3 linked regions of the Drosophila melanogaster genome follow. Changing the gene in region 2 together with the main gene of any one other region gives a genetic interaction. Each region holds a gene or a part of one and is shown on either strand. Other genes may lie near its edges.

The links. A genetic interaction does not mean that the proteins touch.
Region 1: of Prx2 (region 2) and Hayan, changing one suppresses a phenotype caused by changing the other (phenotypic suppression), as found in Drosophila melanogaster (one study listed by BioGRID).
Region 3: of Prx2 (region 2) and Urm1, changing one suppresses a phenotype caused by changing the other (phenotypic suppression), as found in Drosophila melanogaster (one study listed by BioGRID).

The regions. Positions count from the first base shown.
Region 1 is NC_004354.4:18,479,410-18,485,603, forward strand, and holds Hayan (hayan), read right to left. Parts: upstream 4,364-6,194; 5' UTR 4,032-4,363; intron 3,235-4,031; 5' UTR 3,228-3,234; coding exon 3,146-3,227; intron 3,081-3,145; coding exon 2,900-3,080; intron 2,725-2,899; coding exon 1,948-2,724; intron 1,820-1,947; coding exon 1,752-1,819; intron 1,724-1,751; exon of another isoform or gene 1,657-1,723; coding exon 1,385-1,656; exon of another isoform or gene 1,320-1,384; coding exon 1,133-1,319; exon of another isoform or gene 1,076-1,132; coding exon 729-1,075; 3' UTR 574-728; downstream 1-573. Other genes in the region: psh (persephone), read right to left, coding at 5,240-5,586, 5,645-5,828, 5,887-6,170. UniProt on the Drosophila melanogaster protein: Serine protease which, by converting prophenoloxidase 1 (PPO1) into its active form, plays an essential role in the melanization immune response to physical or septic wounding.
Region 2 is NC_004354.4:13,328,136-13,332,574, forward strand, and holds Prx2 (peroxiredoxin 2), read left to right. Parts: upstream 1-1,688; 5' UTR 1,689-1,829; exon of another isoform or gene 1,830-1,895; intron 1,896-2,263; exon of another isoform or gene 2,264-2,544; intron 2,545-2,883; exon of another isoform or gene 2,884-2,986; coding exon 2,987-3,571; 3' UTR 3,572-3,859; downstream 3,860-4,439. Other genes in the region: IP3K2 (inositol 1,4,5-triphosphate kinase 2), read left to right, coding at 16-126, 253-630. UniProt on the Drosophila melanogaster protein: Thiol-specific peroxidase that catalyzes the reduction of hydrogen peroxide and organic hydroperoxides to water and alcohols, respectively.
Region 3 is NT_037436.4:7,639,238-7,642,177, reverse strand, and holds Urm1 (Ubiquitin-related modifier 1), read left to right. Parts: upstream 1-1,731; 5' UTR 1,732-1,736; coding exon 1,737-1,774; intron 1,775-1,840; coding exon 1,841-1,908; intron 1,909-1,971; coding exon 1,972-2,053; intron 2,054-2,113; coding exon 2,114-2,162; intron 2,163-2,218; coding exon 2,219-2,287; 3' UTR 2,288-2,367; downstream 2,368-2,940. Other genes in the region: CG7506 (uncharacterized protein), read left to right, coding at 595-1,092, 1,151-1,363.

The sequences.
Region 1 (6,194 bases), 5.2 Mb from region 2:
AGGAATGCACCTTCACCGCTGAGCAGGCAAACCGACAGCTTCGCAGTCTCGCGACCAACTGAAGCCCGAGGAGTCCTGGCAGCGCCATTTAAGCAGCTCCCACTTTTGCTGCCCGCAGGAGTGCGGCCTTGTGGGGAGAGCGGGGGCTGGTTTGCTGCGAGCGGACGGGGCCAGTGGGTCGGTGGGTGGTGGGTGGTGGGTGGTGTTTGGCTGGCTGTTTGGCCGCAGTAAGCCGGCAGCACTTTGTAACGGCGGCGAACAGCTGACTGCAAAAGCTCAGTAAGCAGCTTTTGTCGCAACTTTCGAATGCCACACCTGGCAATGCCGCGCGCAGCGAGCTTTTGCGCTCTCAGTTCTGTTTACGTACGAGCGGGTGAGGCGCAGACAGCGATAGTTTGACAGCTGTCCCGAAACCAGGGCTGCTGCAAAACGTCAGTGGGTAAAGTGCTTGGCACTTATGATACCTCTTAGTTGCCTCAGATGTTTGAATTTCTATTACACTATTATACTACACTATTATACTACACTATTATACTACACTATTATATAAAATAAAATCGATTCTAACATTTTGAGGAACTGAATGAACAACCCTTATGGCTTCTTTAATGACACTCACTGAATTGTGTCGAACTTTGTCTAAAGACAAAATACCTTTATCAAACACTTTTGATGGGAAACACCATCCGATCCGTTCAAACTAAATTTATTGCAGATCAAATGACGCCTCAGAAACGATTCGACGGCCACACGATACCCTCGATATAGTCGAGAAAGGAGGAGACGCGTGTGTAGAGGCCCGGGGTCTTGGTGGCGCAGCCGAAGCCCGAGGAGATTACGCCTACGATCGAGTAGGTGCCGTCGACGTCGTCAATCTCCAGGATGAGAGGTCCACCGGAATCGCCCTGACAGGCGTCCTTTCGCTGATTCTTGTCCGCCGCGCACAGCTGCGAGGCAATCACGCCCCTTCTCAACGTCCGGTTGGCACTCGGCTGTTCCGCAAAGGATGCATTGCACTCGTCGGCCGGCACCAGATCCAGAGCCGCCCGCAGCAGGATCTTTGATACGGCACGATCTGTAAAGACACCATCGAACACAATCCAATCCTGCAGTTTACGCACACACAACTTACTGGTCACATTCATTACACCCCAACCGGCGACGAAATATTTGTAGTTCGCTGGCGGATCACTGCGATCCGTGTAGAGACAGGCGGGACGGATGACATCGGACTCCTTGGCATCCTCGGCCAGCTGCAGAATGGCGATATCGTAGTACTTACTACTGCCGGAATAGTCCGGATGAATTTGAACATCAATCTGCCAATGGAAGTGAGTGAGTTCAACTGGTTATCTCGCACCATGTGTCACATGGCGATACCAACCACATTGATGTCCTGGTAGCCCGGCTCGGGATTTTCGATGTTCAACGCACCCAGACGGACGAAACTGGGTGTGCTATCGTCACTATTGACGCAGTGAGCCGCTGTGAGGACGAATCGACTGGCGATGAGCGATCCACCACATCGGAACGCTGCGCTCCCGAAGGAGTTGTACGCAATGGCCGCCATGTGGGGATAGACGCCCCTATCCACCCGTTCGCCGTCCAGAATGTGCACCGTCAGGGGCTTTCCACCGGATCGGATCTTCTCACACGCTATCATCAGATGATAGGAAATTTAATATATATTGTATATAATATATCTCCAAAGATATTTTCATATAAAATATTCCAAAGAATGCGCAACTCACCTGCCACCGACGGTCGCTCCTTCTCGGGAAGATTGACGCGGGAGGGATTGGGATTGGGCGTCGTTGGCCTGCGAAAGACAAGGTATATCAGCGATTAAAATTGGGCTCACGATGGTTTCCACCTGAGACAGAGACTGCATGCGGCTCCCTGGCTGAGGCCAACTGATGTCCATGCCAAAAGAATGCTCAGACAAACCGCGTCTCGGCTGGATTGAAGATGCTGGGAGCTGGATCCGCGTCTAGATTATTGCTGACATCGTTCCAGGGTTCCTGGGGCTGGGTATCCTTGTCTCTGTCCTGGCCCCGAAATCGGTAGGGTTCAAAGGGATCGATCAATTGCGTGGGCGTGGGTGCGGGTGTGGGCGTGGGCGTGGTTTGCAACACCATGGGCACTTCTCGAGCAGGCTCAATCTGCATTCCCTGCTCCCGCAGCCGATCGTTGACCAAATGTATGAGGTTGTTATTATTGGGGCTTGGATTGGTATTGAAATTGGAATTATTCGGTCTTTGGGGTCGTGATCGAGGCGTGGTCAGTGGACGGTTCACAATCCGTGGCTCACGGCCCCACTCCGGTTCCATAAAAGATCTCTGGGTGCTTGCAATGGGTTGAGTCTTCGAAGGAGCTATGCCCCAAGCTCCAACGCTTTGGATGGGCAACTTCATGGGTTCGTGTGTGGGCAACTTCATTGACTCGTGAGTGGGCATCTTCATGGACTCGTGAGTGGGCGTCTTCATCGACTCCTGTGTGGGCAACTTCAAGGACTCGTGGGTTTTCTGCGGCTTTACTGTGGTGCTTAGCAGCTTGTTGAAGTCAAAGAAGTTCTGATTCTCGTCCAGCCGACTTTCCCGCTCCCTTTTCCCCTCGGTGGTCGTTGGAGGCAGTGGCTCCGGTTCTGGTGTTGGTTCCCGCTTGGGTTCGGGTAAACTGCTGCGCTCGGAGCTCGTAGCATGGAATTGGACCTCACGACCTCGACTGTGGGAGTGAGAGGTGTTAGTCTGGCGTTGGACGCCGGTAACCGGGGCATGCAACATCGGTGGGCACACAGCACAAGCGGGACACACACAAACACATATATATGGTGCACAAACAGGAGGACAAAAAACAGGACAATAGAGCGCAGAGGCCAAGGAGACAAGGACACGCTTACTCAGTGGCACAGCAGGCGACGGTGGGGCAGCAGATGATCTCCTCGCGGGCGCCAAAACCACAACTCGGCACCTGGCTGGTGGACAGCGTGCCCGACTTCAAATATCCTCTGATGTTCTCGCAGGCTGAGGAGGAGAGGCAGATTCCCGGTATGTCCGACCTCACCTGGCAGGGATCGCCCTCTGCAACGAGAAATGCGGCCAGCTGGCAAGGATCTAGTGTACGCGCCGCAAGACATCCTACATACCATCCCCAACTGTTACATACGCAGAAGTTGTCAGCACCAGGAGACCCAGAAGGAAGTACCTTCTCGCCGAGATCATCGCCATCGGTCAGCTGAAATTCCCAAAAGCATTAGTGAATCCCATTCTACTTGGTAACGCTTATCAGCCTTATCAAAACCGAAAATGGAAAACATCATTTTCACAACAGGGGAAGCCCTCGTCGAAATGGTAAGGGAAAAACAAACGAGATCTGTTTCTTTCAATCGACTCGACTTTCAGCTGATTAAACCGATCCACATCCACTGCCATTGACCCATTTACGATTTTTTTTTTTTTTTAATATGGGAACACCACAAAAGCATTCTCCATATGAACTGCTCGATTGTAGTAAGCCAGACTTGATTGATTTCATTTGAGAGACTTTGTGTTGATGGAAAGTTTGTGTTTGCCGATTACGACGAGCATTTCACCAGCAGCGCCGCCAGGTGAGATCAGATGATTCATGGGAGGCATGCCGCTGGGATTTTACCACCGGCTAAAGACGTGTACTGCCAACTGATATCGCAGCTACGTCGGTAATAACCGATACGAAAGTAACACCTGACAATTATGCTGCTCAATTGAGCAGAGAGTCGTCAATGTGTCTGCAGTTCAACTGAATCATATATATCCGATTGAAGCAATGCAAAAGTGTCATGACATCACCTGTTATCGGCCCAAATGAAATTGTATTAAATAGGTATGCGATTGCTAATCAGCTTCCGGCCTTCCGCAGTAATTGCCCATTGTAAACACGACGAAATCAAAAGTAGAACATGCAATACATAGCCCCACATCCCCACATCCCGCAATCCCAATGTCCATTGTCCACTGTTCACTGTACACCGACGTCCGCCTTATCGAACGCACCTTTGACACGACCTTTTTTCGGTCTCTGATAAGGGAGTAGTACGTCTACGTATCGATGTCGTTTATTGAGTGCGTCGAGCACTGTGGTGACTATGGCAATCGGGCACCGCACAATACAATACAATTTAATTCAATACCACATAAACAAAACAAAATCCAAGGGAATTACGAAAAAAAAAAATAAAAAATAAAGAAAAAAACACCGCAAAAAGCACACCAGCAGAGTCAATAAAGCTAAAAACCGGTGGCTATCACAAATCGCGGCGGTATGGAATCTGCTGGCTATTTTCCCGGCTCTGACCGCTCAGCAACGCATCGCCCAAGCAACTGAAGCCAAGCTTCTGAGCCCCAGCTGGAGCTGGAGCTGGAACCGATGAGGCCCATTTAGACGTCGACCAAGAAGCGCCGGACCCAGCAGCTGATAGCACCCAGAGCCGATCCTCTCCCGCTGAGCGGCGAACCGGTTTCCCATTCCACCACTTCGCAGAATCGCAGAACGATCCGAAGCGATCAGAAGCCAGAGCACACAAAGCACAAAGGCAGCCTGTAATTAGCGAGTGGGTAAGCAACAGGCGAGCGGTATGGACTAAAGGATACCGCGTAAGGTCTATGCTGCGCTTGGTGACCCCGATATTTACACCTTTAAAAGTCGAGTATAATTGTGTCACAGAATCGTGTTTTAGAACTTACCATATATATAGTTTCAATTGCAGTAATCTTGTTTTTTTTTTTTTTGTATAATTCTTCTCTAATTAAAGTGGTGACCCAGATACTTACTTTCTTGCCTAGGTTGCGACCTAGGTGGTGACCCAAGAAGTCCTTTTCAACTTATAGTCTGAAACATATGCTTAAAATTTAAATTTCTTATGACAAATCTTTCTGAAATAAATGCATTCTGTTTGTATTTCCCCATTTTTTTTATACAGTGCAGCAATTCAATAAAAGTGGTGACCCAGAAATCCCTCTAAAATTAAACAGAACCAGAAAAATCACTTCACAGAGTTCTGGAAACCGAACTGCCAGAAATAATATTGTACCGATTGATTATATCTTAAAACGTATCTACTTTATTGGTATTAAATGGTTCGATCGCGGTGCTCATAGAGATCACAGATGAGTGTTTGCCAATTGCGATGGATCAGGCAGTCCTGATCCCAAATAGAAATAATATACATACAAAAAAAACAAAAACTTTACTTTTCCCAACTTTACACCCGATTGTCCGGCCAGACAATGCCCTCGATAAAGTCCAGATAGGACGAGACACGCGTATAGAGTCCCGGTGTGACGGTGGCGCATCCGAATCCCGACGAGATGACGCCCATGATGGTGTACATGCCGTCCTCCACGTTGAGCTCATGAATGAGCGGCCCACCGGAGTCGCCCTTGCATGCGTCGGCGATGAGCTTTTGATCAATGGCGCACAGCAACGAATCGATCACGCCCTGCTTGAGCAACCTTATGGAACCGGGCTGCTCCGCATAGGATATATTGCATTGGTCCAGAGGCACCAGCTCCAGACCAGCGCGCAACAGGATCTTAGATCGCGCCCGAGCTGCGGATGGTTAGCCATTAGTGGAAGTGGAGGATATGGAACTTTTTGTGCTACCCACTGGTTACATTTAGGACGCCCCAACCGGCGACAAAGAACTTGGAGTTCGATGGCGGATCGGTGGCATCCGTATGGAGACAAGCGGGCCGGATGTTATCCGTCTCGACGACATCACGTTCCAGTTCCAAAATGGCGATATCGTTGTACTTATTGCCCACATACTGCGGATGGATCTTAACGCTTCGCTGAGATATGGTATCGATCAGAATGGCTATAACTTAATGCATAAGCACAGTGACTCACTATGACGATATCCTGGTAGGAATGGTCTGGATTTTCAATGTTCACAGCTCCCAAGCGAACAAAGGCCGGCGTATTGGCATCGGTGTTGACACAATGTGCGGCGGTCAGGACGAAGCGACTGGCGATTAGCGATCCGCCGCATCGGAAATCGGTGCCAAAAGTGATGTAACCAATGGCCGCCATATGGGGATATACACCCGGATCAACCGGATAACCGCCCACGATGTGTATGACCAATTGATTGCCGCTCCTCTGCTGTTTTCGCTCGCGAATCTTCTTGCAGGCTATATCGTGGGATTGGAAATAAG
Region 2 (4,439 bases):
AAACATCATTCGCAGGGCATCAAGAAGAGCGATGGCACCAGTTCCAAAGATTTCAAAACGACGAAGTCACGCGAACAAATCAAGTTGGCCTTTCTCGAGTTCCTCAGCGGTCACCCACATATTTTGGTGGGTATTCAAATTAGCCAAGCATGCCCAGTTGAATGCCATTAACTTGGGGATTCCCTGCGCTTGTCATTACTTTTTCTTTTCTTTTTATTTTATTTTCTTTTCTTTTTTTTTTTTTGCATACAGCCCCGCTACATACAGCGTTTGCGAGCCATAAGGGCCACCCTTGCGGTCTCGGAATTCTTCCAGACCCACGAGGTTATCGGCAGCTCCCTGCTCTTCGTCCACGATCAGACCCACGCCAGCATATGGCTAATTGATTTCGCCAAGACGGTGGAGCTGCCGCCGCAGCTGCGGATCGATCACTACTCCGCCTGGAAGGTGGGCAACCACGAAGATGGCTATCTCATCGGTATCAACAATCTCATTGATATCTTTGTGGAGCTGCAGGCATCCATGGAGGCGGAGGCGCATGCGCAAGCGCAGGCGGAGGCCATTCAGTCACCCGTTTCTGGTTCTGGAGGAGATCAAGCGGAGCAGACGGGTGAAGAGAGCAAACCCTAATGGGAAATCCATACATTTCCACACGGAGGTTTGGGGCTGGGCCCCGGAGACAAAGACATTTCCAATTTCCGAATCGATTAATCCCCAATTCCTAGGCTTAGTTATACATTTTTTTTTTGTTTTTTTCTAACAGTTTGCGTACATTTAACCCCTTAAGTTTAAAATCAAAGACTGAAATCACAATATGCATACACATATTTTTTAATATATACGATATACGCGTACATATACATATATAGAAGATATATAGCCTGGCCTATATGTGCTGCTGCTGCTGCTGTAGTGTAATTTATTTATCCAAAACAAAAAAAAAAACAAAAAAATTCACGTTTGGCGAATCCTAGAGATACCCGAATGGCTGGAGATAATACCCACAAGGCAGTTGCAACTGTCGATCGTAACGATACGAAAAGTAACTAAGAAATGAACACACCCAACACGCAACAAGAGCTTAGACTAAGTTTTTAATATAATGGTTATGCGACTACCTACTAAATACTACTAATTGTGCACTATTAAATTCAGTTAAAACAAAACGAAAAAACGAAAGTACTTGTTTCAATTTATTTGTGGAGATTTGTGGACCACAGAATAGCATAATACATAGAAAATATTATTTGCGCCAAAGTGGAATAGAAATGGTTATTATAAACAGGAATCAGTTCTTTAACTACATTATTTATAATGGAAGAATTAAAAAAAAGCGCGGTTTTTTCATTTTGGCGGCAAAATGACGACCAGTGTGACCGTTAAGCTGGTGTGCCCGAATTATACTAAAAGTACTGCTCAGTACATATTATTACACATTATTTATTATTAGTAGTAGTACTTGTTTCCAAGTCTATCAAAAGTTATTAAGCGCTACTATCTTAAAACTTGAATATTAAAACTTACCATTTAAAATGTAGAATCCACTTTTGAAAAGCACGCCAATAGTTGATAGATGGCGCTTTAAGCACTTGCTAAAAAATATCGATGAGCAGCGTTAATCGGCGCTGCCTATCGCAAGCGGTATCCGTGTTGCGGCAGCCCTGGTCGACCAGCATTCGCTTAATTTCAATCCATTCGCGAATTTCAACTCGTGCCGAAAGGTTTGTTTGTGCGAAAGCTGAAGCTGCGAGAGAACGAACAAGAGGAAGCCCACGCGGAAGTCAAGCAATTACCGAGAATTACTAAGAGAAAAAATATAACTGTTTAAAGTGAGTGTTCCTTGGGCGATGAACAGGTCGCTCATTCTGGGCAAAGTCGGCGAGAAATTGCGGAGCGTAAGATTAGAAATTAGCATCGCTGTTGTTGCTGTTGTTGTTCTTTTTCGATGAGCAAAAGATAATGATGTTCATGTTCGGTCGGCAGATTCGAGATTATTTCACAACTTTTTGCACCGAGAGCATAGTTTTTTTCTTCACATTTCGTTCTTTTTTTTCCACTTTATTGGCACGTCCGTCGCACACACTTACACACACACGTACACGCGAAGAGCCGGCGAAAAAAAGGGCACAAAAATGAAATCAAAACTAGAGGAAAATATTTGCCAATTCAGAAATAAGTTTGTGATTTGTAATTAATTCGCATCCATTACATGAAATACGCGAACGTGCCGACAGTTCAATAAATTCAATCGCATAAATGGGAGCAGTCGAAAAATTTGGCTAATTTATTATTCCGGGTTTCTTCCATTTCGCTTCGCTCGGCGGCCATTTTGTAGAGTTCAGCTTTTCTACTCTCCTCTTTGATCTTTCCAGTTTGTGGCGAAATATCTGGAAGTCAAGGGTAATTGCCCTTAATCGTTAGTAATTGCCGCCATTAGAACTCCGATTTATAGAGACTTTTAGTATGGAATTAGCATCAAGTTAACTACTTTACAATTGAAAACCAATTGGAAGTTACATAGGCAAGATTAAAGGTTATAAAATAGTAAGTTTACTACAAAATAGGTATATTGCATATGAGAAATTTCAAGAATTTCGTAAATATTTCCAATTTTCATTCTAAGGGCCTAGCATAATATTGATTTCCCATCATAATACTTTAACAGTATCTATTCATATTAATTTCCATGATTTCACTAGCCTCTATAAATGCAATTTTTTTAAACAACGGTTATCTTGTAATAATCCGAGGTTAGAGTGATGAAATTTTTGTTTTTTGTGGGGCCCAAAAAATCTTGATAGATAAGATAAGATGCGTATCGGTCGAAAGAGGAAGTATCAGTCACAGCGAGATTTCAAGGGGACCATATGAGGGATTTACAATTGAAGTTCTCAAAAGAAGGCGACTAAGTTCAGAGCACTTTGTTGTTAATTATTCGCTAGTTTGAAGAAACATGTCTCTAATTCGCCATCCATTCATTGAACAGATGCCCCAGCTACAGAAGCCCGCTCCCGCATTCGCCGGCACCGCCGTCGTCAACGGTGTTTTCAAGGACATCAAGTTGAGCGACTACAAGGGCAAATACCTGGTGCTTTTCTTCTACCCGCTGGACTTCACCTTCGTGTGCCCCACCGAGATCATTGCGTTCTCGGAGAGCGCCGCCGAGTTCCGCAAGATCAATTGCGAGGTGATCGGTTGCTCCACGGACAGCCAGTTCACCCACTTGGCCTGGATCAACACGCCAAGGAAGCAGGGTGGTCTGGGCAGCATGGACATTCCACTGCTGGCTGACAAGTCGATGAAGGTGGCCCGCGACTATGGAGTGCTCGATGAGGAGACTGGCATCCCCTTCCGCGGCCTGTTCATCATCGATGACAAGCAGAACTTGCGCCAGATCACCGTCAACGATCTGCCCGTAGGTCGCAGTGTGGAGGAGACCCTGCGTCTCGTCCAGGCCTTCCAGTACACCGACAAGTACGGCGAGGTCTGCCCCGCCAACTGGAAGCCCGGCCAGAAGACCATGGTGGCCGATCCCACCAAGTCCAAGGAGTACTTCGAGACCACCTCCTAAAGAGGCTATCTGTTCGCTGAACGGGGCCGCTCCTGGCGAGTGGGAGTGGATTCGAATCGCAAACCCCCCGTTCAACTAAAACCAATACATATACTACATTATATATCCTACACATTAACCCTAGAGCGTAGAAGAAGAAGAAACTGTGAGGCATCTTTCCCTGCAACAGCGCCACCCAAAAATAAGATGATAAACACCTGCAGACGCTAAGCGGAAAGTGATTATTTTTTACGTATATTTTGTGTGCTTTTTTTTTTTTGTAATTCACCACAATAAACGATTGTACGGAGCACGTGGGTCTTTATCAGGGGGTGGCGGGCGGACTTTCGCCTCAAACCTCTGGTCTTATCATCCGGGGAAACATTTCCACAAAAGAAAAAAAAATGGAAAGAAATAGCAGCGGGCGACTTATCACCGTCTGCGACTGGCAATTGCGAAATTGCAAATAGACTGAATCAGAATGCCAGGAATGCTTCGCTGAAAGAAATGACGAGTGACTTGTGCACAGTATACAAATCTACATGTGATGTCTAATTAAACCCGGTTAATAATCTGTTAACATGTACTTGTAGTTACCTATTAGTTGTTCCACATATTCTGTAACTTTGTTACTTTGATGTGGCATTTTATTGCAGTGCAGACAACAGCTGTTGGATTGGTGACACAGTAACCGAGTGCACAATTCCCGTTTTGCCACCATCACCACCCATCCATTTCAATGTTAAGCGCAAGCGAGAGTCCTCTAGTCGACGTGGATGTCTCGCATATTAAACGGGTCTTGACTCTACCGGTATACCCAGATATATATGTATATAAATATATACGATCTGCCTGATTTGAACCCCCTTTTGTGATCGCAGCGTTTCAA
Region 3 (2,940 bases), on a different chromosome or scaffold from region 2:
CTGCAGTACGTACTCAATATTTGCCGAATTACTAGCTCTATTGTTCCGAATTGGTTGGAAAATCATTGGGAAATACAATCGAATTTTTTGGCAGCAATATCCTAAAGTAGGTCAACACTTTGAATAATATTTGCAAACGCCTTTCCTACCGTTTTAAGCGTGAGTGTAAGTGAATTTTAATCGATGTATAAGTGTTAAATAATCAGCTCCTAATTGGTAAGTACAAGTGTAATTATTATTAATTTTTATTTTTGTATTTTTTAAAGAGAATCTTATCTTATAAGATTGTAATATTGGTCGGTTTAATGTAAATTAATTTTAGCTTAGAAATGTTAGAATTTTAGGATTTTAAATTTTTAATATTTGTTTTTAGTATCAATAAGTAAAAATAGTCAGTATCGATTTAAATTTCCGTTGTCAGTGCAATGTTGCCGTTTCCTGTTTCGGTATTCAAAAGGAGAGTTGGTATATTTTGAATAGACGTATCGTTTCTGGATTCTTTTAGCGCCCAAGTGTGGGCCACACTGCAACTCGTGTTATTTAACGTTCGGCAAAAACAGCTGTTTATTTCTACTGAAATAAGTAAATTACACCATGTTAGGCCTGCGAGCGATGCTGCCAAAAGGGAAACACTTTGCTGTTGTCCTGGGAAATGTCAGCCGTCAGATTACCCTGCCCCACAACTGCAGATGCATTACTAGTGCCTCATGGACAAGACCACAGCAGTCACAACCACAGAACTTCCAGCAAAACAGGTGGCTTTCGGTGAAGTCGACGAAAACTGAATCCGACGATGCACTGCAGCGGATCTACTATGGAACTCTTGCGCCACGCATGAAAATGGTCAAGTTCTTTTCGCTGAGCACCAGCTTAGCCGGCTTGGCCGCCCAGCCCATTCTTCTCGAGCAGGGAATGAAAATCGGAGGAACTGGAATGGCCGTATTCCTCTGCACCGTCGGTGGATTCTTCACCTTTGTGACTCCTCTGCTGCTGCACTTTATTACCAAGAAATACGTGACGGAGCTGCACTACAATCCACTAACGGAGGAGTACACGGCCACCACAATATCCCTGCTTCTGCAAAAAATCAAGGTGGGTAGAGCAAATTTAAAAGAGCTTGCCTTCAATGTACATATTATTTACCTTTTAGACTACTTTCCGACCAAATGATGTGGTCGTTCCGGAGGTTCCCGGCATGTTCACCTCTTTTCTGGTCAACAAACGACCTCTGTTTGTGGATCCAGCGCTTTTCGATGATCCCGAGCACTATGTTAAGATAATGGGTTACGACAAACCGATCGATTTCAAACTGGATCTGACTCCGAATCCTGAAAAGTCGAAAACGAGCGAGGAGAAGCAATAAAAAAAACGCTCTTTATGATAACGTGTTTTTTTTAATTTCATAAATTCACAACGAAATGTAAAATGTCTTCTTAGAGCACAGATCATAATATGCTAATGAAAACTTTACCTAGCGTTCCATTGGAATGCCACCTGTTTATGTTTCTCAATGGGAATAATTATAATGCTGAGTCCCCTCGTCGAAGGTGAATGGTAAAGGTAAATTTACGTACAAATTATAATTTCTTTCAAAATGCAATAATTTTTGGAAGTTTAGAGCATGTGGTTGCCAGACTTTTTAGAAATTAGGATTCTATATTTGGTATTATTTTTGAATGGTGGATTTTTTTGAAAAGCTTAGACGCGGTCACACATTTATTTACATCGAACATATGATGGGCACGCCGGAATTAAAAATCATATTAGAATTCAGGTATATAAAGCCTTGTTCGAATTATTATTTCCAATAAATGAGACAATTTGTAATTTAATTTCGTAGTGCAGGGGCGGAGTTACTATTTGGTAACATAAAACGCCGTGAATTGAACTTGGACGGTAAACAAAAATGTATGTTCTAAAAGATGTTTTAAACTTGAGTGAAATCGGTTATGAATTATATATATTTTAAAGGGACTATTGCTAATCTGCTTAAGTGGATGCATGCGAATATTTTAACGGAGCGTCCGGAACTTTTTCTTCAAGGAGATACTGTGTAAGTTTGGCTTAAACTATAAGGGATACATAGTCTATACTTTCTATTGTATGTTTTCAGGCGACCTGGAATTTTAGTACTCATAAATGATACAGACTGGGAATTGCTGGTAAGTAAGAGTACAGAATATGGAATTCTAAAAACTATAATTAACTCAACTTCTAGGGTGAACTGGACTACGAGCTGCAGCCCAACGACAATGTGTTGTTTATATCAACTTTACACGGTGGTTAAAAAACGTTCTGGAATCTAAATTATAGGAGAAAAGTTTATTTTTATACTACAACCCATTAAATTGTATTCAAAAAACAAACAAAAACAGTTTTTGACTGAATCAGAATTACGTCCCTTTACCAGAGGCAAAGGCCCACACGATGGTTCGGGTAGTAAAGTTTTCATCATATCATCTAGAGATTGTAAGCTAGCAGGTTTTCGCTATTTATAAAAGCACAGCATTGAACAAGCACTTGGGAATTGTAGGGAAGTTAAAAATAGAACAATCCAGATGCGGTTTGGCGGGTAATTCGAAGTAAGGACAACACGTTAGTTTTACATTGAAGCAACATTTATTGAATTTAAATTTTCGCTTAAAATTATTTATCGAGTTATTATGAAGTATAGATATATTTTTTTAATGTTCGTTTACGATTATTTTAACTATAGGCACTTAGGTTACATATCAACTAACTGTACGTAATGAAGTTCGATTCAGATATGTTGGGCATCGGCCACGCCCCTTTTTCGGGTGCTGCTCATGGCTCCCATCGATTTCTGTGTGTGTGTGGTGCGGATCGTTCGATTGTGTGGACTAAGAACTAGATATGTATGAAACTTGCTTCGACATTGACACGCTGAATTCAATAATTTCGACTGATTTTTCCGATAAA